4 linked regions of the Nothobranchius furzeri genome follow. The protein of the gene in region 3 interacts with the protein of the main gene of each other region in a pairwise test. Links are inferred from orthologs where the notes say so. Each region holds a gene or a part of one and is shown on either strand. Other genes may lie near its edges. The genes, in order: park7, tcf7l2, daxx and ets1.

Region 1 (7,442 bases), on a different chromosome or scaffold from region 3:
CATGGCTCTAGAATTATTTTCATCAGATATGGTTTGCATTTGAAATCGATAGAATAGAAATAAAAACAAGTTTTTAACAACTTTTACTGTAAAGTATTTCCTTATGCTGAGTCGCATTTCTTTTGCTGAGTAGCTTGCAGATCATAATTGTCAAATATTGCATTTTTCTGCTGTAGCCCTTTCTAAAATTGTGATCAGAACATCCATAGCTGAAACATTTGATTTGCAGAAAGCTCTGCATAGCGGATACTTTTAAACACACTGCCTCTTTGTGTTATTACAGAATGGCCAGTGAATATGTATGGAGGGCCACATGGCCGCTAAGTGACTCTGTGTGCATCTGTTTTTCCTTTCTCCCAGTCGCCTGCTGTGAAGGAGGTGCTGAAGGATCAAGACAGCAGAAACGGCCTGATTGCAGCCATCTGTGCAGGTACAGCTTGTGAAAACAATCCAGCCATAATTATACACATTATCTAATAGATTTCCCTCTCTATGGGTTAAATATGGTGTGACCTTAATCTTGACAAGCATGTCTGGGACTAAAGAGATTCAGATTAATTAATTAATGACCACACAACAAGTTGGTGGAATTTGTTTCCTGTGCAGCACGACATGCTCACAACTCTGTGTCTACACCTGACGTAACTAAAAATAAACAGACAGGGACATACAAAAGCTTTAGGCAGTTACTTTATTTGGTGACCGTATAGCTGTTGGGGATAAAACTGTATTTGAATATATGTGATTTTGACTGTAAACACCTGTAGCGTCTTCTAGAAGGCAATAGTGTGAACAGATGATGTGCAGGGTGAGAGGGGTCCGAGGGGATGTTTCCTGCCCTCTGTGTGATGCGTCATGGTACAGCGTGTCAGTGGAAGGTAGGGTATGGCCTATAATTTTAGATGATTTGACTGTTATGTGTTGTTGTTTTTTACGTGAGTTGGAGTCCATATTACCATACGAGACTACTATGGGTGAGGTGAGTATAGTCTGAATGATGGCAGTGTAGAACTGTACAAGGACGTGGTGCATTTGTACATGGTTTGTAAAGGTTGATTGTGCAGTCACTGAGCAAGAAGCATCTGACTACGAATGGGATGGGCAGCCATCCTCTCACGCCTAGTGAATGACACTTTAGGGTGGCCAGTTAATGAATTTTGAAGTGCACAGAGATGGACTTTCTGATTTAAAGCTGCAAAGGCAAATCTGCAAAACAAGCTAGCTTTTAAACACAAAAATGGTCACAGAACACTCACCTCTCCCATCGGCTACTATCCCCTGGCCACGCCCACCTGATATAGGAATCCACGTGCCAGGGGACACGAGAGAGCGCAAAGCACCAGTTACCGTTTTCCAGGTCCAAACGTCTTTTGTTGACTTCAAATGGTGTTTTTCTTTTTGGGACTCTGGTAGATTGTCCTAAAGTTGAAGTGGTAGCAGCCGGCTGTTTCTCCTTCTCTGATATTACTGAGCACCTCTCACACCAGTGACTGGAGGACCCAGGTAAATGCAGAAATGCGGTGGCCCAGTGAGACAAACTACTGGCATCATATACGTATGTAGACGCCTCATAGACTGGCGCTCCCCATAGGAGCTGACGTATTAGCGCAGCTGCCATCTTGGATAGGTTCCTATTTGCCCCCAGTGCATTTATTTCTACTGAGAAAGGTGTTCACCCAACTACAGTAGTCCATTTTGTTAGGGTTTGTAAGAAAACCAGATCTGTGGTGTGACATGATAATAAAAATATAAATGAATTAATTTTATATTTTAATAAAACATATGTTTGAGTGTTCATTTGAATTTATTCCACTCACTTTCTCCCTCACACACACACTGGGGCTGGGGAGCTAAACTTGACAAAAAACTTTGTGGCTGTGCTGTCACGCTGTAACTCGGTAGTTAATATCGCAATGTGGTGCAGCCTTACTTTCTGATATAGAGACAACAAAAGACTTGAGCGTGAAACAATGATTTTCAGTTCAGAAATATTAGCAAATGGAGACAGAAGATGTTCCTCTGACAGTAAGCTGATGGGGCCACTAGCGAGTCACCATAACAGACCATCAGCATACCTGTATGTCTCCCATTAACCTGAGCAACTCCACTGTTTCTAACCCTTTTTCTTGCCTGCTTCCCGTATTAGTAATTTGAAGAAAAATTTCCCATTATGTTCATTCTGAATTAGCCGCAGAAATAAAAATAGATGGGGGAATACTCGGACCAGAAAAAGCCACACAGATTTACGTCATTTTGGAAATTTGCATTCATTAATTCATCCCTTATGGCTGCCGACTGGAAGGCTGTATTGATCTTGCAGCAAAAAAAAGCGGAGTGTGTCTCGGCTTGTTGACGCTAACTATTAGCAAGTACACAACATGTTTGGGCTTGTGTTATTTGTGGAAATAAAACATTAATGTGGCATTTTTACCCAAGAAAGGAGTGAACGGAGGCAGCAGAATAGTCGCAAGGCATTCAAACCATAACTCTTTGTCACCTGAGAATTTAATATTGAAAAATACTTCACTCTCTTCTTGCAACACTTTTTAGGTTGAACCCTCCTTGTCATTCTGCGTGAAAGGTTGTGTACTTGATTGTGTCCCTGAGTAAACCCGCACCCTCTGTATTTGACAGCTTTCATAAGCAGAGAAAGGACACATGAAATACAGTTGAAATGGGGTCAGGGAACCAGTGCAGCAAAGCAGATTGAAAGGTGTCCTAGAAACGAGTGAAAACCTCACAGGAATATTCTCTTAAATGGAAACGGCAAGCGTGCTCGCTGCAAGACTCATTGTTCCGACATCTTAACCTGGCACGTTTTCAACTAGATTCCTCAGAACTGCAATCTTGTTCCTCAGTGTTCAAATAGTAAAAACGTGGTATTCGTCTTGTTTTTTCTCCACCGTCTGACTCTTTCGTGTCCCTAACTGGGTGGAGACTCGTAACAGGAGTCGTTTAGCTTTGAATGGCAGTCTGTTGTTCTGCCAGAGGAAAGTGTAATCTTGAGACTGCACTGGAAGGCAGCCAAAGGAGTGTGATCAATAACTTTCTATTTATTAACAGGTTTTGGACGAGCAGTGCGGAGACGTCACCAAAGTTAATTCAGCAGCAATCGTCTGCGTCCTCTGCCTCTCCTTATTTCTTTTCTCTAACGTGTTGCAGATGCTTTAGCAAAAACCTGAAACTGTACACTTTGTGAGTTTATTATTAGAACCAACAATAGGGTTGAGGACACTTTTAGGACACAAGTGTTATCAGATATTTTCTATGTGTCTCATTCATTTATTATTTACTGAAATCCATAATCTAAATATGCAACATTCGGTGGAATTTCATACATCTGTTTTTCTCTGTGCTGAGCTTAAGGAGGAGATACTTCCAGTTAGCAGCCTTTTGTCTTTTTCACTATGAAAAGAAAATGTGTGTTATCTAACAGGAGGTTATAAAAGAAACCTTAATCTGCTTCGCACTTCTTCAGGCCCTACTGCTCTCCTGGCCCATGGCGTCGGCTACGGCCGCACAGTAACCACACATCCTGCCATGAAGGAGAAGATGATGGCTGGAGGTAAAAATCAATAAATATTAGAGCATCTTTTAAATAAACTATTACAGCTATCAGTGGGAGAGTTTGTAAGTGTTGGTGAAAAGCAGCAGATGGTGCTGTAATAGCTTTTAGTTGCCTTCGGAGAATCATGTCAGCAGCAGTTGGAGAGCACCGCCCGCCGCTCTGAGGTGAGAGTGGGTGCAGGATTTTGACAGAACGTGTAAGAACCAGGTCTATTTAAATGTTGACTAGTTATCTTTGTGCGGATGTGTTTGGAGGACTTATTAGATCTGAAATGCGTTGCTGCTAGCTTTTGGATCTCCATCATCCTTATGGTATTGCTCTTTGTCTTTTTTTAGACCACTATAAATATTCAGAGGCTCGAGTGCAGAAGGATGGACATTACATCACCAGCCGTGGGCCAGGAACCAGCTTTGAGTTTGCCCTGGCCATTGTGGAAGAAGTTTTGGGGGGTGACTTTGCAGCTCAAGTCAAAGCTCCTCTTATTATGAAAGACTAATTTATTTACAACTGTGCTAAAAGCACTGCCTGATTAACAAAAAACCCACAATACCCGAGTCAGGTCTTCTGCCACTGGACATGAAAGTGAAACATTTTCTTAACTAGACATGAGGATTTCTTTTCTAACATGTTTTGTTTTAAAATGTCAAATGCACCTTATTACAGTAAGATGGGTACTAAAGGAAAATCTGAAATAAAACAACTATTTTCACGAATTACTTGATTGTTTTGACCGCTACTGTTGTGCCACCTGAAAATAAAGCAATCTGAAGTTGCAGGTCATTGTTTTTATTTCACCTAAATATAGGCTGCTGAACAGCAGGAACGCGGGAAGACGAGTCCAGAAAGATTGGCAGCTTTTATGACCAATGAAGAGCTTCGGCTCGTCTGCAGTTGAGTTGTAATTGACCAATTACGTGTCGTGTTAGCCAGTGGGCGGTGTTTGGTAATCAGCGCGTGGTGTGTCCGAAAATCCAGACGGTCCTCATCACAGACAAGAAGAAAGACCAAGAGAAGGGATTTTGTAGAAAGGTAGGACTGTTGGGGTTTCTCTTTTACTCACAGACGTGAATGCGTGGCTTAGTACCCGCACCTCTTTCCCGCATTAGTTATTAGATAAACCTGCTGCCAGTTATTGTTAACGCGGCGGTAGTCACGGTCAAATAAACAAACCACATGGTTCGTCGCACCGCACCAATCTGCATATGTGCGTTGTCATTAGTGGGGGAGTGTTTCCGCAACAGGGCTAGTTTAGCCGAGATTAGCTCGCAGAGTGTCGAGCGTAAAGTTCGCTGCAGTCTCCAACAGACTGGATTGACAGTACCCCGACGAAGAGATTGTTGCCAGTGCAGCGCGCGCGTTGGCCCGCTCACAGATGCGCACACTGCGGTGCAAGTGAGTGGAAGCAGCGGGGCTTTAGATCCGCTGCACATATGTGAGGACACGCGGAGACATCAGCTGCAGAGGGAGCTCTCCATCCTCCCAGTGTCAGCCGCAGTCAGGCTGTCTGGCTGCTGCTAATGCGGTGCGGCAGAGGCCAGGTTAAGTCCTCCACAAAGACATCTAAACACTCACGACCAGTGGAGGAGGTGTAACCTCCAGCCATCATCAAACTGCATGAACAAATCTTCAGCTGACGCTCCGATCTTCACGTTGGCACTCTGAACAAGAACAACCCGTGGTGCCTTTTACAGGAAATGCAAGTTATTTCCTCACTGGTTAGCTGCACATTCAGCAGCAGTCATTATTGTTGCATGCAAGCCAAATAACATGTAAATGGTCATCCCAATTTAAAACTCAAGTGACCTTTTCACCCACCATTGTACAACCAGAGCAGCATTCAGCCCTCTAAAGAGACTAGACTATCACTGTTAAAATCACATCCTATCAAAATCACAAGGGTGCACCTGCCTGAAAAGTTCAGGCTAATTGAGCTTGGGTGCTTTAGATGAGGGTATGTCTGTCAGGTTGGCACATCATCATCATGCATGGCAGCCTGGAGGACTAACATGACCTCTTAAACTGTGGTTGGATGACAATGTATGGCACAATGTCATTAATGTTGTGTTTTTCAGCCGGATATTTCTGGAACATTTACATTTTTGTGCCATTCCACATCACATGTTAGAATTATTCTGCTTGAGCAGCTGTACAGTAAAGAGCTGGAGGCTTGACTCCCTATTTCTGGATGGGGCAGAAGATGGTGGGGTGGGGGAAGGGTGAGGCTGAAGTCTCCCTTCCTGCCTGAGTCACTGGTTTAGCTAATGATGCAATTAGACCACTGCGTTTTGCATCTTCTGATTAGATCCCTTTCTTGCACTGGCCTGCAGACAATAAAGACAGAAATTGCTCAGCTGAGTTCATTTTATTTTTAAATGGGTAATTTGTTACATGTGGACACGTTTTCTACATCATCATAAACAACTACACAGATTTGACAATGGTGTGTACCGTGGAATCTAAAATTACAGATCACATTCAACACAAAATTTAGTAGCTTAAAAAATATAAGTACATACAATTTATATGGTGTCAACATGACACAAAATCATTCAACCAAAGGAGGATGGGCCAGGTTTACTGTTTATTGACTGTGTTTAACAAAAAGATTTCCAAGAAATTTTTTTATGAATTGAGTTCTGTTGCAGAATTTTAACTGGTTTTCTAATCCCCCTTGTGTTCTTCCTGTGTTTCTTTTTAATCTCCATTGTATTTTTTTCTTGCTTAACACACAGCATAGGTAAAAACTTTGCTATGCTCTTTATTAAGCAAGGAAAACAAAAACAATGAAGACTGCTTTTCTTCTTATGTGTATATTTTACTATACTTCTTTGGTACCCCCTCCCAACATCCTATATGTATATAGAGTTTGGCCATGACACACAGAGCTCAGTTGTGGGGCAAAATCTACAGTTGTCTTTCAAACTGTCTCCGCATGCTATTGGACAACAACCAAGTGGCATACTTATCGCTATGGATGTCAATCAACAAGGCAGTTCATCATACTCTGTTGAAGAAGACACAAATACATTCTTTTCTAAATGGAGGAATTAAGTACCTCTGTCTAGTCTTGGCTCAAGGAAAAGCCCAAGTCTAAATGGTCCAAAGTTGATTCCAAAGCCGTTTCAAATGAGCTGCCACCATCTTAGTTGTTCTCTCTCATCGCATCATCCTGCATACCAAACCAATAGAGCGCTGTTCAACCACGGCTGATCCGAAAGTCTTGTCTTAGAAACCTGTAAAAGTGACCGTCTTACCCTCTACTGTGATAAAGTGTAAACAGTATGCCATTTTCCTTTGGCTAAGCCCGCCACCGTCCCATAGAGCCCCATGCAATCTGAATTGAGCGACACTTAGGCTTAGCTAATAGTGTTACTCCTACTTCACACTGGAAGCATCAGCAACTCGGAATGGCACGCGGAACCTCACTGCTTCAAATATAATACATTATAGTCTGTGAGGTGATTCAAACGAGCTGCGATGCAGAGATTTTCAGGCAAGTTCCAGAAGCGGCACGCCGCACAGCTAAATGTAGGATTGGGTTCTACTTTTGCCGCAAGCTACTTCCGGAACAAGTCAGTTTCCGCAGTTAACATAGGGCTAGACAGGAAATCACACACAGTTTCAGTGTAAAATGCTCTATTGCAGTGATGCAATTTCAGATCTATGTGGCTTACGTCTATACGCTTGACCTAATGGCTTATTTTCTCCCTGCATTGTGAAACAGTGTGTTTTTCATGGCATTAATTCTGGCATGGAGAGAAACAACATTATATGACATCAAACAGTAATATCAAACATGAGTTCTTTCTTTTTAGTTTAATGGCAGATGGCACAAACCAACTGTAAACTTTGAAGTCTCAAAGGATTCTGTGAT
Region 2 (8,733 bases), on a different chromosome or scaffold from region 3:
TCAGATTAGCCGCTATTACATTAAAAGTCAATGATTTAATTAGAAAAATAACAGCGTTCGGCTCCAAACCAGACTCGGCTGCAGCTGCCCGGCTCACGCCGCCACCAGGGAGACGCTGCTCCCTTTGCACTAGTTTAAAAATCTGATTAGAAACACGCCACACAAACGCGTGGGGGGGGGCTAGAAAAAGAGCGACAGAACGAGGAGCATTTAAGCACTCCGCCTGCCACCATCATCACCAGCATTAGACAATTAAACTCCACCGGCTGAAAGAAAAGGACTTATTTTAAATGTATTTTCTAAATAAATATTTACAGCACCAATCGTTTCCATTCACTGAGCAGGCAGGGACAGACCCTGACTGTACTCCCTCTGTCTCCCATCAGCACCCCCCCCCCCCCCCCAGCACCCCCCCATCCCTACATCTGCGATTCATTGACTTTACAATTTACCACATGTCGCGATGGGAGAGGTCGAGCCTCCAACTGAATCACGGCACAAATATGCGAGTGATTTATTGTTTTAAAAACCCCGGGCCGATTTAGTGCAACTCCACTTTTCCTGAGCGTTACTCCTATTGGCAGACCATGAACAATTACAGTTTGGACTAATTAAGCTCTGAGAATGTGCTGTGCACCGCTAATGTCAAGCAGACCACAATTTCAGTTTAATGGTGCCAAACTCTGCTTCCCCCACCGCCAGCTCTCCAGCTCAACTTCTCAAATCCAAAGCAGATTGTACTTTTTTATGGCCGTTTATTGAGTTGAAGGAAATATAGGACCTTTTTTTTTTTGTTTCCTTCTTCTTTTCTCAGGATGAGAGGGATCAGCAGCAGCGGAGAGGAGGAAGAGCAGGAACCGGTGGGAGGGAGTCGGAGAGCGGGAGCCGCTTCTTCCGCCATACTTTTTTAGTCTTGTAAACAAAAGTGATTTGCAAGACAAAAGAAGCGCAACCTTCCGACTATATTCAGAGTGCATTTTTCAGCTTGAGGTAAAAAGAGGAGGGGTGGAGGTTGGGGGAGTGTGCAGCCACGTCGTGCCACGGAAACCCCTGCGGACACCAATTAGGCCCGATTAACATGTAAAGCCAATTTGATAAGGTGTGGGCCCTTTCCCTTTAAAGCCGCATTAAAACCATCTTTCATCTTGTCCCGGCCAAAAAAAAGCCATTCACACCCGCCGAACACGCATAATCCAAATGATGCACTATTGTTACGTTCACGCCACTGACACGTCTAAGAAACGGTTTTATTTCTCACCCATAAGGCCACTGGAATACACGTGCACCACAAAGAGGCGCTTGTGCATCTGACTAGAGAATCCTGCTAAGTAAAACAGTAATGTCCTAATGAGAAACGGTGTGTGTGGATTTAGTTTTTGCAGAAATCTGCAGCAACAACATGGCTGAACCAAAGCTATTGTTTCAAGAACGCAAAGCCTTGGAAGGAGAATCACGGCAGCTTCTGGGAGCATCTTTTTTTTCTTCCTTCCACTGGTGTTGCATTTTCACCCAGCACCTCCCCAGTTTGCCCCACCTCTACTTGTTCTTTAAAAAGAAGGAATAAAAACTCCTCGTAATTACACGTCGAAACTCAAAACCACTGTCAGAAAGTCTCCGGGCCTGGAGAGTTATACGGGGCCAGGAGTGGCGTCAAATATCTTAACATTCATAAGTCTGAGAGGCACTAAATAAAGCCGGTGGATTTACGGCCCTGCAGCCCCGACGCAGGAGAGCTGGCCGCCCAGATCCTGCTCCACCTCCCTCCCCTCGGCCTCTGCGTCCTCAGACCTGTTGAGGTGTGATGTTAGCCTTACCGCTCCGGAGTTAACCCGCCGCCTCCCCCCCCCAAAACCCCGCGTTAGCAACAGCAGGAAACAAAAGGTAGACACAGAAAAGAAAAGGGAGGGTGGGTAGAGGGAGTAAAAGGAACAAGGAGGACCGTTAGAGGAGATGAAAAACCAGGGTGAACTTGGCAGGCCGCTTCCCCAATTCAACCTGCAGCACGTGTGTGTGTGGGGGGGGCACAGCATCATGTCAAATTACTAAATGATGCTAAATTGTAGACCTGTTTGGACTGAGGTGATGGGAAAAACAAATTCTCACTGTTATGACTCCCAGAGGTCAAACTATGCAGAAATTATTTTTCTCTCCCACCCTCTCAAGCTGTGCAAACGCAAAAATAACACAAACAGCTTAAGGTGCCCGCAAGGATTAGACGTGGTGACAGCTAAAGGATGAAAATGACTAAACGACCTGGAAAATGACTATTTTACTCAGATGTACTGCACCAAAAAAACTGAATTAAATGCCTACATGTATAAAAATGGGAATAAAATATCTCAGCAAGAAGAGGTGAGCAAAAAAAAAGGGGGGGGGGGGGGGAGCACGCACCGAGAGTCAAAGGCTTCCATGACAAGACAGAGGAAGTCTTCTCGTAATAATACTGGCAGTCATATTCACAGCCTAACGTGACAAGTTAGAGAGCAAGACAGCTAATCAATGTCCAGGTGAATTATTTATACCAGCTTTAAGTTTAATAGATTTATATTACAGCCACCGCTGACTTCAAAGACCTAATGGTTGGACACACAGGGCGCCGCAGACGCAGGGGGCCGACAGGAGGAAGAGCACGGAGAGCCAGATCCACCTTGTTCAGGTGGAGTCGGCTGGATAACGTTTGTCTGCAAATATGCACAATTAGTCCGGATTTTTCCTGCAAGGTGTGGAAATGTTACAGATGGTGTAAGGCAAGATAAATATAATTCTTTTTTTTTATTGTGTGTGAAAACAGAAATTAAAGGGCAACGCAGTCTGATCAGCAGCATCTCTTGGACAGAATGCACATATTTGAGCTGCACAACAAAAGGAGCGCTGTGCAAACCTGCAACAGGACACACACACACACACGCACACACACACACACACACACACACACACACACACACACACACACAGAGAAAGAGGAAAAACCAATAAACTCTGCTACTGAGAAAAGGAAGTCCTTCACTTAAAATCACGAGAGCCGTGGTGAACGTGTGTTAGTGTCAGCGCTGATGAGAACAACCAGTGACTAATTCCCACCACATACCAGCCGGCTGCAGCAGCGTTAACCAGGGCCGGACCATGCAGAGACAGAGGCAGGATTAGAAATAAAATAAAAACAGCAAAAACCTTCTCATGTGGTAAAAACATATTGGTCATAGCAGCGAAAAACGTTCATAAATAATGATCAAATTATTTCACGTGAGCCCATGGGCGACTGAGTCAAGAGCTGAAATTGTGTCAAACACAAAAGAAGGCATTATGTGTCAGGTGTGAGCTCATTTTCAAGGTGTGCACATGCAGGGCGCGCACACACTCACACACACACACAAAACACAGAAGGTAACAAATCTGGCTAAGCAAAGCTGAGTTAGTGGGTCATATTTCCTACGGCCTGGTCTTCGCCTTAACCTTGTAAAATAAGATGACAGCTCCTAAAGCAAAGACTTGTAATTGCAGTCATTTAACACAAGTTTTTTGTTTGTTTGTTTTTTAAAGGTTCATGGTTGAGAAAATGATTCTGCTTTAAGGTATCCATCCCCCTGTGGGACCAGTGAGGTGCATAATTACAGAATGGCTGATTGTGACTAAATAACTAACATGAAAATATTTAGAAATGTGGCTTTAGATCAGCATGCGTTGGGTAAAGGCTGTGGACACCTCCAGGAAGCAAAGGGTGGCACACATGCTCAACAAAGCAGAGCTGCGCAATCCAATCAGATAAACAAATTACAACTTTTAAAATATTTTTATATATGTTATAATATAACAGTTAATGTGGGCTTACTCAAGTGCACCTTTCATAAAATTTCCTTTCACGTTTCAGTCACATGCAAATCACCCAGAAAAGACTCATTTGCATATTTATTTTATTGGTGTGGTTTTACACTGCTTACTGTGTCAGAGCCATGCTTGTGTTAGAAAAAAGGGCATTTTAAATGAGGCTATGCTAGCACGAATCAACTGCATTATTCAGCAGTGTTGTTTTTAAATTAAATTAAAAATAATAATAATAATTCATTTTAACTGGGTTTTTACTGGCGCACAGCAAAAATTTTATTAAGAGGAAGAACAAAAATTTGAATATCGCCGTGTGTTTCATTCCAAAATTGCTAAATCTGAGATTGAGAGACATTTAATAAAGTTTTTATTTTTTAGAGCGCGTGCCGCCGTACTGTCCACTTCAGGAACAGTTGGGAAAACTTGGCTTTGTCGGCAGCAGCTCTTCTGGGTGACAAAACAAACCCCGACTCGGGGACACAGTGTGTGTGTATCTGTGGGTGAGGAATGTGTGTAGAAATCCAGCTGAAAATTAAATGAACTTACTGTTCGTGCTGTTGGAGAAAGTGATCCATTGGGAAGGTAGGGGCTTGTGAGGTCGGGAATCATTATAAATGGATAGCCCGGGTACGGTGGGCTCTTGAACAGCCCTCCATCTTGCCTTTTCGCAGCTAACATGGCGGGGGGGTGGGGGGAGAAAAAAAAGAGGAAAACCTTTTTTAAAGTGGCCATGGAAAGTTTTTAATTTCCTGAAAACTACATTTGAGTTAGAGAGGAGATTCCCTCTCCGTCAGGCACATTTTATGTAATGTTAAAAGAAGAAAACAAGCCAAAGTAACTCACCCTCTTCTAAACTTTCTCTCGTTTTGTCTCTGAAAGTTTCAGATCTAGGCGGAGGCCGTCTTTCCGCCTTGAAATGCAATGAAACACAAGGATTGCGTTAAACTCGAGGGTGCTGGAGAACTTCTCCTTCCAAACTCTTCATTAAAAATTAGGAAATGCAAGGGCCTCTGTTTTGTGACTAACTTCAGCGGGGATCGATCCGAAACTTACCTCTGAATCCGAGGAGCTGTTCTGATTCGTTTCCGACTCGTTTACGAGAGAAGATTTGACGTCTGCTAAATCCCTTTCTGCCGAGGAGTTCTCCGAAATTTTCTCCTCCTGCTCCCCTTCGTCTTTGAAGGAAATCATTTCATCGTTCGCACCCAGATCGTCCCCTCCACCGCCGTTGAGCTGCGGCATGTTTCCCGTGCAGAAAGCTCTCCTGACCGGGGCACAACACAAACTTTCAAACCCTTGATCTCGGCGATCTCGGTAGTCCGAGTTTAAGTTTTTTTTTATATAAAAGAAAAACGCGGGGTCTTGTATTGGCGTTTTCCAAAGCTCTGGCGGTTGGTAGAAAACTATATAAGAAGAAAAAAAGAAGGGGGGAATCTTGGCAGAAAAAGGAAGCCGGAGAAGGAGCCGAGCCGCCCGGATTGAGTGAGTTGAAGTTGGTCGGAGTGGTTTTCAGTTCAAAGGCGGCGCTGATTGACAGATAGAGAGGGATGGAAATAGAGAGAGTCTGGATTCAGGATTATTGACAGGGAGAAACACACAAGAAACTAATGAGATTCAAACAGGGAGGGACTTGAAGTGACGTTTTCATAAATAGGAGGAAAGAAAAAAAACTGAAAGGGAGAGAGGGGGGGGGGCGGGGGGACGACTGCAGAGAAAAGGCATGTGAGGAGGGAAAAAGGCAGTTTGGGAACAGGACAGTGAGGGTGAAATAGCAGGAAGATAGGAGGATGCTTGCAAATGTGGATTAAACGCACATATGGGCGGTCTCCCGGTGGAAGGAGGGAGAAAGAAAGGAAAAGAGGGCGCTTCCTCCGGCTGTTTCACCCTCCTACTCCTGGCTGACACTTCCCAGCTAAATAAAGTTAATGTTACATGTTTAAATAAAAATGTGTTTTTTTTATTCTTCTGGCAAATTCAGATGCTTAAATACTCAGAGCCTATCAAAGCAACATTACTCAGAACTGTTAGCGATTCTTATTTCATCTGCTTTGTCAGCTCCTTAGATCTATTTTTCATTATGTTGGCTAATGTTTCCTTAGATCTATTTTTTGGGATGGAGGGTGTTATTGCATCCTACTTTCTCGACAGGTGTGATGTCCTCTGGGACTAACCTGAATTCCTCACAGGCAGCACAGACTGAGCTGTTTTTATTTTTCCCTCTTCTTCTCTTTCCTCCTCAGCAGCCAGGCTACTGGACACAAAGAGACGGATGCAGACTCAGATGCTGCAGCTCTGTCTTATTTTAGTCTGGATGGACCTTTAAAAGACAGAAAATTTGAGTGTTTTTGGTGATCTAGAAATAAAATTGCTGCACATGAAATGGAAAAAAGTATATAAGATGGTTTTATGGTTTGTTTTTATTAATTTTATATTAATTAAATTTGTTGTGACAAAAACAAATCTTATTAACTTTTCTCATGTTCTATGCAATAAAGAAAAAAAACACCTGATGAATAAAAATGCAAAAACATCTTAAATGTAACACCTAAGCATCACAAACCTGCAGTTTAATCACAGCAGCTGACACTATCTCATCAGTTTTCTCTTATCTGGTTCAATCTAGAGCAACAATCACAAAAACATCAATTAATTCACCTTTGGCAACAAGAAACGGAGCTAAAGCATCCAGATGACACCGCCTTGCAGAAATGAAAAAAGGAGCAAGATCAAAACAAGTCACTGAATTGTTGATTAAAAATATTGTCTCGTGTCTTCATGGCGTAAGGCGTGTGAAAACAAATATTATGACACTAATTCCTCTGTATCTGCTGTCAGCAGTGTTGTCAGAAAGCGCTGATAGGGAATTACGTGCAGCACCAAGGTGCTGGGAGCCTAACACGCCCAGAACCAGGCAGTTCCATGAAAGCAGGTGCCCATCATTGATGCTCTTTATCTGGATGAGGTGAAAGCAGCATTTGCTTGCTGCAGCCCATGCAGACAGGAGGAGCATGGAGGAAAGGGTTGCCATTACAGTTTTGTTTTGTTTTTTTTATCCTGTGTGTCAGTGTTCAGGGAGCCGATGGAAGAAGACACACCCTGCTGCTCAGGGGCCCTCCAAACCCGACCCCCGTGCAGACCAGACCAAAGCAGAGGGGGCTCCAAGCCACCTCCGGATCGCCTCAGCAGGTTCCTGAGAGTTTAGTGGGGGCTGGCAGCGCATTATCACGCATGCCGTGGAGACACCTGCCCCTGATGGTGATTCTAATCTGCAGGACCCTTTAATAATGTGATGATAGGCTTTGCTGCTGCTGCCCTGAATGATGGAGTAGGATCCTTCCCTGTGTCCCGGTGTCTTCTGGTACTATTCATACTCCTGGTGGGGGAGGATTGTCCCCTCTTCTGCACTCTTCCCCATTGCATCTGAAACTAGAGGAAAAGATGCTGATCCAGCCTGATCAGCTGATTCCTGCCTCTGTTAGAAGCTGTCAAAACATAAACACCTAATCTGAATAGGTGACCTCACAGACAACTCCTTCTCAAGTGTCCAGATAAAATATTTGTTCCTCCTGGCTTTCCTTTCACCTTTATAGTGTTTCCTGCATGAGGCAGAAACACAAAAAAAATCTAAACAAACCAAAATAGCTGTTTTACTACATAACCTGTGTATTAAATGTTATAAACATAGTATATTCTCAGATTATTTTCTATCTATTACATTTAACTAATATTTTTGTTACATTATAAAAACCAAAGCAGATGCAGATTTGATTTTTAAATATAATTTTCATAATGTCCTTCAAGCATGTTTAACATTAAAATAATCACTAATCTAAAGTCCTGCAGGTAAATGAACATGGATGGATTTTGCACTGACGATTATGGGTACACCGATATATTGGTCGGCCGATATTTACCTTTTTTTTCTGAAACTAATTCAGCTTCAAATGTTTTGTGCATCAGCTGATGTCATTAGTGACATTTTAGCAGGAAAATAAGGTAGAAGATGTCTAAACATCGGCCATGAAAATTGGCCCAAAATTTGCCAATACATATCGGCCATAAAAAAACAACATTTACTCTACTGCCAACTTAAATATAACTCATATAGAGTGTTTCTACCTATTTTCACTCATTGATGGACTTTGTGTTTTTAGTTAGTAAAGAAAATCACTGCACAGTAAACCAAATAGCAAGAGAATGACATCATCATTCATCTCTACGCTCTTAAACCGTTAATTATCCATCAGGAAAATCTCATTATTTGATTAACATTTTACAACTGGACATGTTCTGCCTATTTTCCTCCCCCCACACATCTCTGTTTGTTTTATAGTAGCAGATTCACTCCTGCAGCCATGTTCGTCGGCTAATTAGGACTTACTATTTAACCTCAGTTGCTTTTAGTGGAGTGCAGATTTGCTCCATTGTTGGGAGTTGTGTAGTATAACATCTTTTGGCATTTCAGTGCCAGCCAGTGCAGCTAATATAAATTATATCAATGGGACAATACTGTAGTTAGCTGTAATTACATCCATACTAATGGCCCTCACCATTATTTTTGCAACAGAGGGGGAAGGAAATCTGAATTACCTGATTATGAAAAGCACGTTTTTATGCTGTATATAATTTCTTTGAGTAAAAACAAATCAGATGACTAATATGCGTGGTTGTATTTGTGTGCAAATGTCAATATTTTTACATTGTCCTCTCAAAGTTAGCCCTTAAAGCTCCAATTCATTCGTTACTTCAATAAACCTGCAGTGGTCTCTGGTATGAATGGACGCCTTGTGAGTCATTCTCTTGGAAAAAAGCTCTGAAGCTCCTGTTTCAGGAAGTAAAGTTGCACCTGATTTATACTTCTCCATGAGCTCCACAACAGAGAGACGCACACAGAGTGTCAGAAAGGTTTTT
Region 3 (8,385 bases):
TATCACAGGTGGGTCTGATTTAATCTGACACACAGCCACAAGTTCACCTGGATCTGGGTCAGAATTACCTGTGTGTAACTTCCTGTTTACATCCCGCCCCCTCTGACCTCAGACCCTGCAGCAACTCTCTGCCACCACTCTCTGAACCCCCCCAGAGGCTCCATCCAGAAGCCCCAGTGTGAGATCAACCCCTTCCTGCCGCAGCCCTCCAGCCTCAGATGGGTCACGTCGCTGACAGAATCAGCGCTCAGTCCCATTTACCTGCAGGCTGACTGGTTCTCAGCTTCCTTCCAGGGCCTCGACGAGCAGCTGGGAGTTTCTGCGATCACTCGAGCTCCGACAGGAACCAAAGACCATGATGGTAAAGAGTTTTTACTTTGATCAAATCTGATTAAAACATATCCTGACCTGTGTTTTACTTGTTTCTGGTTCCTCAGTGGTCCTGAGCGTCACCAGTAAAACCATGTCAGCGAGCTCCAGACTCGGGGAGCCGGTTACGTTGGACTGTGGCTTCTGGGCCGACCCCTCCTCCCCTCTGACTGCGACGGGTTTTGCCGTGGAGTGGCGGTACCAGACCAGAGGTGACGGCCGACTTGTTCTGGCTTACGACGGGAAAACGGACCGTTTGGCTGAAACTCGGGAAGAAGGAGCCACTCTGGACTTTGAAGGTTTGCACACAAGAGGAAATGCTTCTCTGATCCTGCAGGAGGCTAAAGTCCGTCACTCAGGGACATACATCTGCACCGTTTACCTGCCGTACCTGCTGGCTCAGGTGGCCATAGAGCTGGAGATAGTAGGTGAGGAGAAAATTGAAAAGGCTAATCTGATTTATTCTAAATTCTCTAATAAACCTGATATTAACACTTTTGTTCCTGTCTTCTCCTCAGAACCTCCGTCCCTCTCTCTCTACCCGTCCCCTCTGCCCCTCGCTGTTCCCGGTCAGACGATAAGCGTCCAGTGTGAAGCCTCCGGCTTCGCCCCCCTCTCCCTGGAGCTGAGCTGGGAGTTTAAAGGTGCTGATGGGAAGAGCAGATCCCTGGGAACAGGCAGCATGTCGGGCCACAAGCAGGCCTGGGACGGCACCTTCAGCCAGAGCTCCCGGCTGGAGCTGGACACGTCCAGACTGGACCTGGGACGCGGAGGGGAGGTCACCTGTGTGGCTGTCCATCCGGGAGGAACACGGCGGGCCAGCGTGAGCCTCAACATCATCGGTAATCTGGGAGTAACGGAAAATATCTTAGATTAACATGGAAATTTTGGTTTTTGAGGGTCTGAAAATAAAAGGGAAAAAGTAAAATTTTTTACAATCGTTTCCTAAAAAGTCAGATATGTTATTCAGGGATTAAATGATTACAGCAGAATCAGTTTTGATGTCTGAATGAATCAGGAAACGAAAGTAATTTAGGCGTTAATCTGTTCCCCTCAGGGTTCAGCTCTCCCTCCATTGAGGACTCTATGGCGATGGTGGGCGTGGCTCTGGTTCTCTACGGACTCATCAAGTTTGTGTCCTGGACCCTTACTGGATCAGGTGGGAATAATATAGATTATTAAATACAGGAATTTAATCCCTTAAGGCTGCAAAAATCATCTTTTAGCTCTTTAAATCCAGTTTTTGTATTTTTGCCTGACTTTTGTGTCCTTTTTTATTATTTAGGCTCAGATAAAACAGATGGACAGGACAAGGTAAGGAGCGTCGGGTTTGAAACTAAAACATCTTCACTTTTTGTTTTAATGTTTATAACTTTTCCCTCTTTTTCCTCACAGAAGCAGAAATAAAGTTAACAGAAGACGACTGGATTTAAGTTTTCCGTGACTTCTCTGCAGCTTTTCAGCTTAAAGCTCGGATAAATATTCTGTTCCTTCAGCCAGCGTGGTGATGAGTCTAAACGTGGATCAGCTGGATTTTTCACTGTTTTGTGTTGCAGATGAATCCGGGAGAATTCCCTGGAATTATCCTGTTTTATGTAAATACCGACGTGACGGTTTCACGTTAAAAGTGACAAAGCTCTTTTATAAATAAAATTATCTTTTATTTAATGATTTTGTTACAAATTGAAAAAACTTCTTAGAAGCTTTTATTAAAGAGCAAGTCACCCCCTACCAGAGCATTGCTCCACTCCCACTTCCTGTTTGAAAAATGCAACAAATGCTGTTGCCTAGCAGACCGAGAGGGCGGAGCCACTAATAAAATACACACACAGGCTCACAATGACATTGTGACATCATATGGTACCAGCTAACATTCTTGGGTACCTCTTAGCCAATAGTGATGGCAGATTTAAATTCAAATGCAGTGCAGAGTTTTTACCTGACAACGGCACAACACTGACGGTTTTAGGCAGAAAATTAAAATTTGAACTAAAATGCACTAAAGTGCAAATTTATTGACTACACGTGTCTGCAGCATGATTAGACACGCATTTATATAGTTTATCAGGGGAAAAAAGTTGATTTGGGGGTGACTTGCTCTTTAAGTTTAAAATAATGTAGTTTTTAATATCATTTTCATTTTAAACATGTTAAAACGATTTAATTATTATTTTTGTTCTGAACTTAATACCAGAAAAAAATATTTATTTGGACAAGAAATCTCAATTTATTGGAGACAGTAAAATTAATTTAAAATTCTCCATAACTTCTAATGAAATGTGACTTTTGTAAGTCTGAAAAGTCTTTTGTGTATAATTCTGCATAGTTATGAGTCAGGGGTTGTGTTGGTGGAAACTTCACTAAAATAAAGACTTTTATGGGGAACAAGCATCTAATTCTGATCTTTGTGAAGAAAAAAAATCCATTTTAGTAGCAATTCACATAGATAGAAGATATGAAATTTGTTTTTTTCAATATGATAAACTTGTGGGATTAGGAATGATCCAATAGGCATATTTGTGATAAATTAGTATTTATGTTAATTATAGGAATTGTGATTGTAGTTTTAATTTTATGTAAATAACTTTAAGTGAGTTTAGAAATTTAAAACACCAATTTAGTTCATCTGATTAAAGATGTTTTACCTCAATAAAACCTTCTAGGAGATGAATTGTGCCAACTAGAAAAGTAAATTCAATAACAAACAAGTACCATTAGAATTAATGGCGCCACTGATATTTAATAATATAAACCAACACTTCTGGAATATTTCAACAAATTAAAAAGCAGTGTAGCCTTTAAAAACACATAAATTAGTTTGTTGTGCATCTCCTGCAGAATTGTTTAAACAGCAGCTGCCTTGTGTCAGAGCCTGACTAGAATGTTTGCATAAATTTAAGGAAGTTTTGCACAAGCTGACACAAATATGTTTGTAGCTGAAAATAAACACCACAGACATTTCAGTTGAGACATTCAGGACTAAAACATTTAATGAGAAAGATGTAATTAAAATTCTGCAGGAAATTCTGCATGAAAAGCAAGTTTTGGTCTCTGTTGTCATCTGCTTTATAATTTGTAGAAATATTCCACTTAAACGCTTGCATTTATTTTAACTTGTAGAAATTCGGCGTGGAAAACAAACTTCTTGGAGACCTCTATCGTCATACATGTTTCCAGCAGGTGGCGGTAAAAAAAAAGTTAACCAGAAAATAAACCAGAGAAAAAGACACATTCCTTTTGTCCAATGACAGAAGGCTTTACTCATCCCAACGTGTCTTTTGACCAACCAGAGTCAACTACGTGCGTCGGAGTTTAGCGGGTCGCGAGTTAACAATTTAGCTAAGTCTAGAAGCTTTTTGTGAGTAAACAGGAAGCCTCATTGGGTTAAAACTAGAATTAAACAATAGTTTATTTTGTTTATTATCCAAAACAAACAGACTAAGACCAATTTTCGTGTTAACCATAAAAATAAACATGATTACTTGTTGCTAATGCTAACATCAGCTAACCAGCTGCGTTGTAACCCGCAAATGTTCTTTATTTTCTCATCGAACTGCTCTTAAACAAGAGGTAAGTGTTTTTGGTATTTGTGGTCAACTGTCTGTAGCTCTTATCTATTTTAACACAAGATCAGAATTATCTCAGGTTTACTGGCGTTTCAGTTTCGTTTCTGTCCTTTAAAGCTAATAATTTCGCGGGAATGTAAGTTAACGTGTTTAACAACATGTGCTTTGATGTTTTAGTTAACAGCGACAGTGTTTTACTATTAAAGCAAAGCACAGAAAAATGTTGTTATTAAAAGCTAATTCTCGTTTCCTAAGAGGTCCTTAATTAGAAATGTTTGTTTCTACTAAAATAATCCCAAATAATCCAATACTTTATAATAAATTATTCTTTAAAGCATTTATGTATTATGATTGGGTTAGGGTGATTATGTTTTAACATCTACATTTAGGCTAAATATGACATCAACATTATTTCTACACACAAACGTTTGAAATCTTTGGAATGTCTAATTTTATTTTAATGTTTTCAAAATGCCTGAGAGTGAAACTGAAATGGACATAATCTACTTTTATGAGACATACAAGTATTTTGTTTTGATGTAATGTTTATGAATATTTAAATCACTACTGTAAGATGCTGGGAAGTTAGAGATACATTAATTGAATTATGACTAAATATAAATATTATTATTAATAATCATAGGGAAAGGGTGGCTTGCCAACTCCGGGTCGGGGGAGAGGTCCTACCTCAAGTGGAGGAGTTTAAGTATCTCGGGGTCTTGTTCACGAGTGAGGGTAGGAGGGATCGGGAGATCGACAGGCGGATTGGTTCGGCATCTGCAGTGATGCGGACGCTGAGCCGATCTGTCGTGGTGAAGAGGGAGCTGAGCCAGAAAGCCAGGCTCTCGATTTACCGGTCGATCTACGTCCCAATCCTCACCTATGGTCATGAGCTTTGGGTAATGACCGAAAGAACGAGATCACGGATACAAGCGGCCGAAATGAGTTTCCTCCGTAGGGTGGCCGGGCTCAGCCTTAGAGATAGGGTGAGGAGCTCGGACATTCGGGAGGGACTCGGAGTAGAACCGCTGCTCCTCCGGATCGAAAGGAGCCAGCTGAGGTGGCTTGGGCATCTGGTCAGGATGTCTCCTGGACGCCTCCCTGGGGAGGTGTTTCAGGCACGTCCTGCTGGCAGGAGACCCCCGGGTCGACCCAGGACACGTTGGAGAGTTTACATCTCTAATCTGGTCCGGGAACGCCTTGGGGTCCTGCCAGAGGAGCTGGTGGAGGCGGCTGGAGAGAGGACGGTCTGGAGCTCCCTAGTTGGGATGCTGCCCTCGCGACCCGGATAAGCGGAGGAAGACGACAACAAATAATCGTTATTTTACTGAATTAAAAACCTTGTAAAAGTTCTGAGATGTTTTATCTGCTCTTTAGTCTGAAGTCTGTTTATAAACCAAAAAACCTTCAGCAAACCTTATTTACACAATTACATAAATATATTTTATTTATCTGTTTATAAATAATTTGAACATTTTCTGAGTCAGAGCTGACAAATCCAGTCTTCTGATCAACACGAGTGAAGTAGATCCTCTATATGTGGCTTGTTGTGAGATGCTGCAGCTGTTGTTGTTGTTTACGTTTTCACTCACATCCCAGAATGCAATGCAAGTCTGATAACAGGAGGGTGTGGGCCTCAAAGCTGCAACCTTTTGAGGCCACCTCCTTCATCGGGTCTCAGAACTACACTTTTGTTTTGCACCCTAAAGAGAGCTGCACCAAGCAAGGAAGCGGACCAGCGTTGAATATAAACAGCCGAAACGTCACACGTTCTCTTAAATATGCTAAAAGGGTTTAAATCACCAGAGATATTAACAAACGACCTCCATACAACTCTAGAGGTTTACAGAGAACTCTGTCACTTCCTAACCGTTATCGATGATAAACTCGCCGCTCTGCTGATCTCCTTCATCTCGTTTGGGTTTTATAAACAGAAACAAGCTGAACTTGGGATGGCGGTGGCTCCTGCCTCATTGGCAGATCAGATCATTGTGCTTGAAGATGATGAACCTGCGTGTTCCTCTGCCACCTCCTCCTCCTCCAAGCGACAAACCAGTAACGTCTCTCCAGCCCGCCGTCAGCAGCAGGCTCCCACACACATCGTCCACTCTCCTTTTGCTTCCAACAGGAAGAGCGTAAACGCTCTGCAGGCAGAGAACCAGAAGCTGTTCAGTGTGGTGAGTTTATATATATATATATATATATATATATATATATATATATATATATGTATATATATATATATATATATATATATATATATATATATATATGTATATATATATATATATATGTATATAGTTTTATTCTCTAACAAAACCAGATTCACCAAACGCTTCATCAGGTTCCTTTCTGCCTTTTCTCCAGTTTTTGGAGCACTGCACGTCTCTCACTAAGGACTGCCCAGAGGTCTTAACCTTCCTCCAGACCAAGCACGCCAAGGCCAGCGCTGAGTTCCTGTCCTCCGTGGAGTTCAGGAACACGCTGGGACGATGTCTGACCCGCGCTCAGGCCAACAGCTCCAAAACATTCGTCTACATTAATGAACTGTGCACCGTGCTCAAGCAGCACAGCGTCAAGAAGAGGCCGGCCCTCAGCCAGGCGGAGCCTTCTGCATCGACGTCGGGTGCCACCCGGTCTGCTCCCGATTCACTCCAGAGTAAAACTAAAGTGGAGGAGGAGGAGGAGGGGAAACCAGCCGCAGAACGAGCCTCGACGTCAGGAGGTCAGGAGGTCAAGGAGGAGAGTGAAGAAGCGCAGCGGAAGGCTAAGAGAGCGTTAAGGAAACAGGTGAGTGTTTATCTCTGAAGGCTTTAATCCTGCTTGTTTGAACTTTTTCTCACTTATTTGCAGTAAAATGAGCCGAAAAGCTGATTTCCTTTCAGCAGAACCCCCCCCCCTTATGGTTTTACTCGCTCTGATTTCCAGATCGCACACCTGGAGAACCTGCTGAAGTCGTACAACGATGAGATCAGCCGGCTGCAGCAGGCCGAGCTGACTTTAGACGACATGGAGACGGAAGACTCCACGTACATCCAGGAGCACAAACTCAAGCGGAAGGTCGGCTGAGCGGCAGATTAAACCCGGAACGTTGCATCTCCGGTGGGACGACGGGTGACTTTTTTTTTTTTAACGTCTGTTTCCAGATGATGAAGATTTACGAGAAGCTGTGTGAGCTGAAGGGCTGCAACACGCTGACGGGGCGAGTGATCGAGCAGAAGATCAAGTTCAACACGACTCGCTTCCCTGAGATCAACCGGAAGGTGAGTTCTTCTCTTTCGGTGTCATTCCAGCGGGTGGATTAGCGTTTACGTAGGATGTGTTCCTGCTTCCTGTCAGATCGAGCGCTTCATCAACAGTCCCGAGGCTCGTAGCAACCCTCCGGATTATCACGACATCCGGCAGCTGGTGGTGCGCGTCAACGAGCGCCACAACCTGTGTTTGAACCGGAAACAGGTGAGTCAGATCGCCCAGGAGGCCTTCAGGGACACGGGCAGCCTCCTGCAGGAGCGGAGACACCTCGACCTCGTCTACAACTTCGGCTCGCGTCTCACCGACGCCTACAAGCCCGGTGAGGCTCCAGCTCCGCGTTCACGCTGAATACTTTCATTCATTCATCCATGTTTGTGCCTAATCCTCTCATCTCTCCTCCTCCGGTGGAAGCTGACGACCCGGCTCTGTCCGACCTGTCTCTGCTGAAGAAGCTACGGTCCAACAGGGAAGTGGCTTTGTCTCGTCTGGATGATGTCATCAAAAAGTACGCCGTGAAACAGGACGACACAGAGGAGCAGGAGAGAATCCGGAGACTGGAGAAAAACGGGAAAGAGAAAGAGGTGAAGGAAAAATCCCGGCGCATCAGCGAGGCGGAATGTTCCCTTCCTGCTGGTCCGGAATGCTGTTTTATATACCTTTTTATCCGAGGATAAAACAGGAAGCATCAAAACAGTTCCAGGAGTTAACATCTGCGCTCCGACTCTACTTCTTTTACTTCCATGATCAGAAACCAGAAGAAGGAAAACAGACGAGTCAGGCGAACGGCGTGGAGGAGGAGGAGGAGGACGAGGAGGAGGATGAATCATCAGACCCTGACATAGAGGAGGAGATCCAGGCCAGCACTCAGCAGGCTGCCGCAGGTCAGATTAAATCTGGGATTAAAACTGTTTGTGAGATTTCTCAGATTTGATGTAAACTCGACTCGGTTCCTGTCATGGATTTATCAATGTGTGTGTGTGTGTGTGTGTGTGTGTGTGTGTGTGTGTGTGTGTGTGTGTGTGTGAGTTCTGGACGAGTGGGCATGCAGAGAGGCACAGAGCGATACATTTACATTCAGTTGGTTGAGTCCATGATCAAGAATTAATAGACATGAATTTTTCCATAACAGTTCCAAACGGGAGATTATAATCTGCTGACCCGTGGAGAGGTCACGACCCGGTGTCGTTAATCCAGATTA
Region 4 (7,949 bases), on a different chromosome or scaffold from region 3:
TCTGGCTTTGTGTGTAACGAGTCTGCCTCAATTATTAAATTTGAACTACTGAAATAAATTAACTTTTGCACCTTAATCTGATTTTTCCAGTTTCACCTGCATATGGCGGTTTAAGAACCAGTGTGACAATTTGGGGGCTGGAGTTGTTTTAAGAAGATCTAAATTTCTCCAAACTGAGGTTGTTCAAAAAGTAATCAAGCAACCGTTGAGATAAAGAGTCAAACATCAAAGGATCCAACCCTCAGTTTAGTGAGAAACCGTGTTCAGTTTGAGAGAAATGAGTCGGCCCAACGACTCCGGGCGCAGAGAGTGTGTCAGAGGGTTTTTCTGCTGCTTTTTGAGGTTTGCAGCAACTCATAACAACCTACGCTCCTAGCACAGAAACCTCAGCAACTCTCTATGGCAAGATGCAAATGACTCTAACGTCTCCAGGTGTCTAAAAAAGCTGAAATGTGTTCTGCTTGGATTAGAGATGCAAACAAGAAAAAGAAAACACATCGGGTCAGGGCTCGGTCATTTTTTTCCACCCAGCATCAGCGTTTGCGTCAACAGTTTAGAGCTGGGAGGAATGAAGCAAGGGCCAGAGAGGAGTGTGTGTCTCTGGCAACAAACATCAGCAAATCCCATCAAATCCAAACTCCCTCTCATGCAACTCACAAATATGCTCACTTTGCTTCCACCCCCCTCCCTTCACCACCACCACCACCTCTCCTGAGACCAAGAGGCTTGGGAAAAAGATGGCCGCCCTTTGGCCCCTTCTGTCTTGCCCCCTGCATCCAGCTCAGGGAGGTGACGGAAGAAAGCTTGTGTCCCCCAGCACTCCCCCACCCTCCTTCCTTGGCATGCATCCCAGTCCTCCAGCATCAATCACTCTTGTCAACTAAAGAAGGCCAGAGTCAAACGCGTGCAAGGCAAATGCACTGGAAAGAATGTTCCAGCTTTAAATACAGAGAAAAAAAACTAATATGAGAAAACAATGAAATAAAAACTAGAACCAGAGAGCAGGAGGCAGAGGAATTCAGGGTATTCAGTTGTCCCCAGAAACACACTGGGAGGAGGGAGAATGGAACTGGAGGGACTGGGGGAGTGATATCTGGTAAAGGCATTGGCCTCAGGGTCAGCATCAGCAGCAGCTCCAGAAATAACAGTGCAGGCAAGTACTGTGTGTGTGTGTGTGTGTGTGTGTGTGTGTGTGTGTGTGTGTGTGTGTGTGTGTGTGTGTGTGTGTGTGTGTGTGTGTGTGTGTGTGTGTGTTTGTGTGTGTGTGTGTGTATGTGCATGCATGCGTGTGTGTATGTGTATGCGCATGCATGTGTGTGTGTGTGTGTGTGTGTGTATGTGCATGCATGTGTGTGTGTATGTGTATGCGCATGCATGTGTGTGTGTGTATGTGCATGCATGTGTGTGTGTGTGTGTGTGTGTGTGTGTGTGTGTGTTATTTTAGAAGATAAATCTGTTCACCTACATGGGGACCCAGTTTAATAACACAGACAACAACATGAAGCAACAAATTTGACTTCAGGGCCTAAATTAGGATGATGACTGATGCCAAGGCGGAAGTTTGGAGGAAATTCCACGAAAATCATAAAGTTCATTCAAGCATCTTTTGAAATGGAGTTCAGTGAAAGTTGCACATTTTACTGAGAACAATAAATTCAGCGTGATGCATAAACAGATCTAAAAACCAGAGAAAATCATTCAGAGAGCTGTAACAGCCAGGGTTTTTGGTTGCTGGTGTTTAAAACCCTTTGGAAGGAGAGAGTGTTCTTAAATATGCTCAAAATTTTTATTTACTGCATGATTTGATTGAAACCACAACCTGTTTGATTTCAAGTGTGTTTCCTTCCTACCTGTAGGACACATGTCACGGCCGTCCGGTACCTCCTGCAGGGGTATGTCGTGGGGGTGAAGGGGCTGTGAGGGGTAAAACTGCTGCTGGGGGTGAACCACACCTGGGAGGTGGGTCTCAGGGCCCACTGCAACTCCTCCAGCTGGTCTCTGTAAAGAAAAAGCAGTTCAGTCGCAGGAGCGCACAAGTTCCACAGTTAAAGTGCTTCTGCACGTCTTTACTGCGGGGTGATTTATCTGCATAGGGTGGCTGTTGAAAAGCAATTTTCCACGGCCCATAGATGTGAGAGTCATACTAATGTACGTGTTTTAGCTCCTTCAATTAAAACCCGAGAACACTTAGGCCATTAAACATCAGCTTGTATCTCAGGAGTTAGCTGGAAGAAACAGAACAGCTTTATATTTATGGGACTCAGAGATAAAAATGGTTGCCACTAAAACCCGAATGGAGGGCAAAATGAAGACCTCTGGAAGAAATTCAAGCTTTACATTAAACAATTTAAATACATTGACTGAAAATGACATAAAAAGTGTGGCAGTGCAGCTTTAGATGCTTTTTGATTTATTTAGTTATTTAATGCAACAACCTCTTCAAAAGTTTTGAAAATCAAATGTGGGAGTTCTTTTATTGCCGAATGAATAAACTAAACAGTTCATCAGATTTGGCAAAGAGTACAACCTTGGGTTTTAACTACCACTTGTATGATTTTATTGTTTTTCTGCACAAATAAGCCTTGCAGCTAAATGAGCGTCGTCGTACGGTTCTTTTCCTCTTCCTCTGTGCTGCTAATCACAGAAATGTTGCCGCTAAAGGCTGCACTAGTGAAGGAACATCTGAACTCAGCGCTTGAGAGTAGAGGTATAACATCTGATGTGAGGCAGGGGGAAAGGGCCGTTCACTAGGCCTCTTCTAGCATTTTAGTTTTCATGTGTCAACAAAAATTAGGAGATGGTGTTTGACGTTTGTGTAACAATCTAGTGAAGTGACAGCTCTGCTGTGCCTTTAGCTGCATGCGTGTTAGACTGGTCATTAATGCTACAAAGTCTTTATAAATCTCAGGATTTTTGCAAACTTCCTTCAAACGCAGAAATTGTTTAATGTTTTATCAGCAGCATAAAAAATAAAAACACCAAGAGCAAAGTTGACTTTTTGAATGTCACGTGTCATCCGTGCATCAGCCTGGTAGAATGAGTGACTGCCAATCTGATACACAGCGCCACTTTGGCCTTGGCAGCGTTTATCAGTAGCTGTCCAGCTTCACGGATGGCTGATGTGGTGAGAGAATCAGGGAGATCAACTCTTAGGGTTCTGCAGAGATCCGCATGGAGAGCAGCGAGAGGGGAAGGTTAGAGAGGCATGGTGGAGCTATAAGAATGAAGATAGCAAACAGCGCCGTATCTTCTGATCGGTTTGAGTGTGGAACAACCTGAACGTGTAAACCAGTCAACAGTTTGGAGGTGATTCCTGGCAGCTGTAGGATCATTTCTGCATCTGATCTTTATCACCTTCATCAGCTCATGTAATAAATATTTCTGTAACATTAAAATCCTCTCCATTAGTTTCACTTACATCAGATTTGTGACTTATTTAATTAAAGCTTTTTTTTTTACTTGTTTAGCTTGTGTGCATTAACGTTTCCAGATTCACACAAACGGTTGCACTGCAGGAACTCAGCTTGCTTCAGTTTAAGATGGAAATTCCCAGTTTTCAGTTCCTGCTGCTGAAAAAGCTAAAGGTGGGAATTGTCTGACTTGTTGATGCCACAATTCCCATCTCTGGAGCATTAAATCAGAGAGAGAAACCTTTATTTTTTCCCTACTTCACATGTCAGTGAAACATGGAGGGAAAGTGCAGCATCTCTATAACTTATCAGGATTCAGCAATTAGTGCTGACTCAGTCAGAAGTGTTTGGTTACGTCTGAGAGACGAGGCAGTGGACAGCGCTGTGGACCGATTGCTGCATTCTTATGGTCACTGGCTAGTGTCTCACTGTCCAAATGTTGAAACAGCATACTGAGCACACACAAGGAGGGAAAACAGGGAAAATGGTCTTTGGTACATCAAGCTAATCTCATCGTTGTTGTCTTCCTCCGCTTTTCCGGATCCGGGTGGCGGGGGCAGCATCCCAACTAGGAAGCTCCAGACCGTCCTCTCCCCGGCCACCTCCACCAGCTCCTCCGGCAGGACCCCAAGGCGTTCTCGTACCAGATTGGAGATGTAACCTCTCCAACGTGTCCTGGGTTGACCCGGGGGCCTCCTGCCAGCAGGACATGCCCGAAACACCTCCCCGGGGAGGCGTCCAGGAGGCATCCTGACCAGATGCCCAAACCACCTCAACTGGCTCCTTTTGATCCGGAGGAGCAGCGGTTCTACTCCGAGTCCCTCCCGAAAGTCCGAGCTCCTCACCCTATCTCTAAAGCTGAGCCCGGCCACCTGACGGAGGAAACTCATTTCGGCCGCTTGTATCCACAATCTCGTTCTTTCGGTCATTACCCAAAGCTCGTGACCATAGGTGAGGATTGGGACGTAGATCGGCCGGTAAATCGAGAGCCTGGCTTTCTGGCTCAGCTCCCTCTTCACCACGACAGATCGGCTCAGCGCCCGCATCACTGCAGATGCTGAACCAATCCGCCTGTCGATCTCCCGATCCCTCCTACCCTCACTCATGAACAAGACCCCGAGATACTTAAACTCCTCCACTTGAGGTAGGACCTCTCCCCCGACCCGGAGTTGGCAAGCCACCCTTTTCCGGTCGAGAACCATGGTCTCAGATTTGGAGGTGCTGATCCTCATCCCAAGCTAATCTCATAAATTAATATATTATTTTGCTACTCGTAACATTTCGGACACAGTAAACTAATGCAAAAGCCTGACATGGAGATAAAGTCAACATCTTAGTGTTAAACGCTCTCTGGAAGTTTCCATAGGATTAGAAACCTCATGCAGTGAATTTATGCTGTTATATGTTTGGCTTCTTTCTGGTTTCTTGACAGTTTTCCTTCTCATCAGCTGAGTTTCATCAATTATTAGGGAGGATTGCAAATGAGAAAACGTTCTGAACCATGAAGCAGCATTTAGTCAGGTCAGGCAGAGATAGTAACTCAACCACTTAGATCTTCATGCAGTCTGAATGTTATATTTTCGTCTTCGTCTTCGTCTTCGTCTTCCTCCGCTTATCCGGGTCCGGGTCGCGGGGGCAGCATACCAATTAGGGAGCTCCAGGCCGTCCTCTCCCCGGCCTTGTCCACCAGCTCCTCCGGCAGGACCCCAAGGCGTTCCCGGACCAGATTGGAGATGTAACCTCTCCAACGTGTCCTGGGTCGACCTGGGGGCCTTCTGCCAGCAGGACATGCCCGAAACACCTCCCCGGGGAGGCGTCCAGGAGGCATCCTGACCAGATGCCCAAACCACCTCAACTGGCTCCTTTCGATCCGGAGGAGCAGCGGTTCTACTCCGAGTCCCTCCCGAATGTCCGAGCTCCTCACCCTATCTCTAAGGCTGAGCCCGGCCACCCTACGGAGGAAACTCATTTTGGCCGCTTGTATCCGCGATCTCGTTCTTTCGGTCATTACCCAAAGCTCATGACCATAGGTGAGGATTGGGACGTAGATCGACCGGTAAATCGAGAGCCTGGCTTTCTGGCTCAGCTCCCTCTTCCCCACGACAGATCGGCTCAGTGTCCGCATCACTGCAGACGCCGAACCAATCCGCCTGTCGATCTCCCGATCCCTCCTACCCTCACTCGTGAACAAGACCCCGAGATACTTAAACTCCTTCACTTGAGGTAGGACCTCTCCCCCGACCCGGAGGTGGCAAGCCACCCTTTTCCGGTCGAGAACCATGGTCTCAGATTTGGAGGTGCTGATCCTCATCCCAGCCGCTTCACATTCGGCCGCGAACCTACCCAGCAAGAGCTGAAGGTCAGAGCTGGATGAAGCTAGGAGGACCACATCATCCGCAAAAAGCAGAGACGAGATTCTCCTGCTACCAAACTCGACACACTCCACACCACGGCTGCGTCTAGAAATTCTGTCCATAAAAGTGATGAACAGAACCGGTGACAAAGGGCAGCCCTGGCGGAGTCCAACCCTCACTGGGAACAGGTCCGACTTACTACCGGCTATGCGGACCAAACTCAAGCTCCTCTGGTAAAGGGACTGAATGGCCCTTAACAGAAAGCCACCCACCCCATACTCCTGGAGCGTCCCCCACAGGGTGCCCCTGGGGACACGGTCATAAGCCTTCTCCAAATCCACAAAGCACATGTGGATTGGTTGGGCAAACTCCCATGCCCCCTCCATCACCCTTGCAAGGGTATAGAGCTGGTCCACAGTTCCACGGCCAGGACGAAAACCACATTGCTCCTCCTCTATCTGAGATTCAACTATCGATCGGACCCTCCTCTCCAGTACCTTGGCGTAGACCTTTCCAGGGAGGCTGAGGAGTGTGATCCCCCTATAGTTGGAACACACCCTCAGGTCACCCTTCTTAAAGATGGGGACCACCACCCCGGTCTGCCACTCCCTAGGAACTGCCCCCGATGACCATGCAATGTTGTAGAGACGTGTCAACCACGACAGCCCTACAACATCCATAGCCTTGAGATACCCAGGACGAACCTCATCTGCCCCCGGGGCTCCGCCGCTGTGTAGTTGTTTGACTACCTCAGCAACTTCTGCCCCCGAGATCGGACAGTCCATCCCCAGGCTTCCCAGCTCTGGTTCCTCCTCGGAATGCACATTGGTGGGATTGAGGAGCTCCTCAAAGTATTCCTTCCACCGTCCGACTATAGCCTCAGTTGACGTCAGCAGCTCCCCATCCCCACTGTAAACAGTGTGAGCGAGTTGCTGCCTTCCTCTCCTGAGGCGCCGGACAGTTTGCCAGAACCTCTTTGGAGCCGATCGATAGTCTTTCTCCATGGCCTCACCAAACTCCTCCCACGCCCGAGATTTTGCCTCGGCAACTGCCACTGCTGCACCCCGCTTGGCTATCCGGTACCTGTCTGCTGCCTCCGGAGACCCACAGACCAGCCACGCCCTGTAGGCCTCCTTCTTCAGCCTGACGGCTCCCCGAACCTCTGGTGTCCACCAGCGGGTACGGGGGTTGCCACCACGAATGGCACCGGCCACCTTACGACCACAGCTAGCAACAGCCGCCTCGACAATCGCAGAGTGGAACAAGGCCCACTCGGACTCAATGTCCCCCACTGCTCTCGGGACGTGGTCAAAGCTCTGCCGGAGGTGGGAGTTGAAGACCGTCTTGACAGGTTCTTCTGCCAGGCGTTCCCAGCAGACCCTCACTATGCGTTTGGGTCTGCCAGGTCTACGCGGCATGTTCCCTTGCCATCTGATCCAACTCACCACCAGGTGGTGATCAGTTGACAGCTCCGCCCCTCTCTTCACTTGGGTGTCCAAAACATACGGCCACAGGTCAGATGATACGACTACAAAATCTATCATCGACCTGTGACCTAGGCTGCCCTGGTACCAAGTGTACCGGTGGGCATCCTTATGTTCGAACATGGTGTTCGTTATGGCCAAACTGCGGCTTGCACAGAAGTCCAATAACAAAACACCGCTCGAGTTCAGATTAGGTGGGCCGTTCCTCCCAATCACACCCCTCCAGGTCAAGCTGTCATTGCCCACGTGAGCATTGAAGTCCCCCAGCAGGACAATGGAGTCCCCTGATGGAGCACTATCTAGCACTCGTCCCAGGGACTCCAAAAAGGGTGGGTACTCTGAACTGATATTTGGCCCATAAGCACAAACAACAGTCAGGACCCGTTCCCCGACCCGAAGGCGCAAGGAAGCTACCCTCTTGTCCCCCGGGGTAAACCCCAACACACAGGCAGAGAGTCTCGGGGCTAACAAAAAGCCAACCCCAGCCCTCCGCCTCTCACCCGGAGCAACTTCAGCAAAGTAGAGTGTCCAACCCCTCTCCAGGTCTCGGGTTCCAGAGCCAATGCAATGTGTCGAGGTGAGTCCGACTATATCTAGCCGGTACCGCTCAACCTCTGCCACAAGCTCCGGCTCCTTCCCCGCCAGCGAGGTGACGTTCCATGTCCCAAAAACTAGTTTTCTTGTCCGGGGATTGGACCGCC

What was found.
Region 1: the proteins of daxx (region 3) and park7 interact in binary tests that used the Homo sapiens proteins (3 or more experiments, as listed by UniProt). The link is inferred for Nothobranchius furzeri from reciprocal best matches to the Homo sapiens genes DAXX and PARK7.
Region 2: the proteins of daxx (region 3) and tcf7l2 interact in binary tests that used the Homo sapiens proteins (3 or more experiments, as listed by UniProt). The link is inferred for Nothobranchius furzeri from reciprocal best matches to the Homo sapiens genes DAXX and TCF7L2.
Region 4: the proteins of daxx (region 3) and ets1 interact in binary tests that used the Homo sapiens proteins (3 or more experiments, as listed by UniProt). The link is inferred for Nothobranchius furzeri from reciprocal best matches to the Homo sapiens genes DAXX and ETS1.

Annotation. Positions count from the first base shown.
Region 1 is NC_091743.1:63,719,727-63,727,168, reverse strand, and holds the end of park7 (Parkinson disease protein 7 homolog), read left to right. Parts: intron 1-360; coding exon 361-430; intron 431-3,478; coding exon 3,479-3,565; intron 3,566-3,903; coding exon 3,904-4,064; 3' UTR 4,065-4,343; downstream 4,344-7,442. UniProt on the Homo sapiens protein: Multifunctional protein with controversial molecular function which plays an important role in cell protection against oxidative stress and cell death acting as oxidative stress sensor and redox-sensitive chaperone and protease.
Region 2 is NC_091756.1:39,555,589-39,564,321, forward strand, and holds the start of tcf7l2 (transcription factor 7-like 2), read right to left. Parts: upstream 5,493-8,733; 5' UTR 5,065-5,492; coding exon 4,876-5,064; intron 4,733-4,875; coding exon 4,666-4,732; intron 4,494-4,665; coding exon 4,369-4,493; intron 1-4,368. UniProt on the Homo sapiens protein: Participates in the Wnt signaling pathway and modulates MYC expression by binding to its promoter in a sequence-specific manner. Acts as a repressor in the absence of CTNNB1, and as activator in its presence.
Region 3 is NC_091759.1:22,795,096-22,803,480, forward strand, and holds the start of daxx (death domain-associated protein 6), read left to right. Parts: upstream 1-3,799; 5' UTR 3,800-3,939; intron 3,940-5,869; 5' UTR 5,870-5,887; coding exon 5,888-6,112; intron 6,113-6,302; coding exon 6,303-6,725; intron 6,726-6,863; coding exon 6,864-6,995; intron 6,996-7,081; coding exon 7,082-7,198; intron 7,199-7,274; coding exon 7,275-7,506; intron 7,507-7,598; coding exon 7,599-7,768; intron 7,769-7,935; coding exon 7,936-8,068; intron 8,069-8,385. Other genes in the region: tapbp.1 (TAP binding protein (tapasin), tandem duplicate 1), read left to right, coding at 1-8, 113-361, 438-797, 888-1,211, 1,427-1,528, 1,655-1,683, 1,765-1,776. UniProt on the Homo sapiens protein: Transcription corepressor known to repress transcriptional potential of several sumoylated transcription factors. Down-regulates basal and activated transcription.
Region 4 is NC_091753.1:25,486,430-25,494,378, reverse strand, and holds part of ets1 (protein C-ets-1), read right to left. Parts: intron 1,999-7,949; coding exon 1,851-1,998; intron 1-1,850. UniProt on the Homo sapiens protein: Transcription factor. Directly controls the expression of cytokine and chemokine genes in a wide variety of different cellular contexts. May control the differentiation, survival and proliferation of lymphoid cells.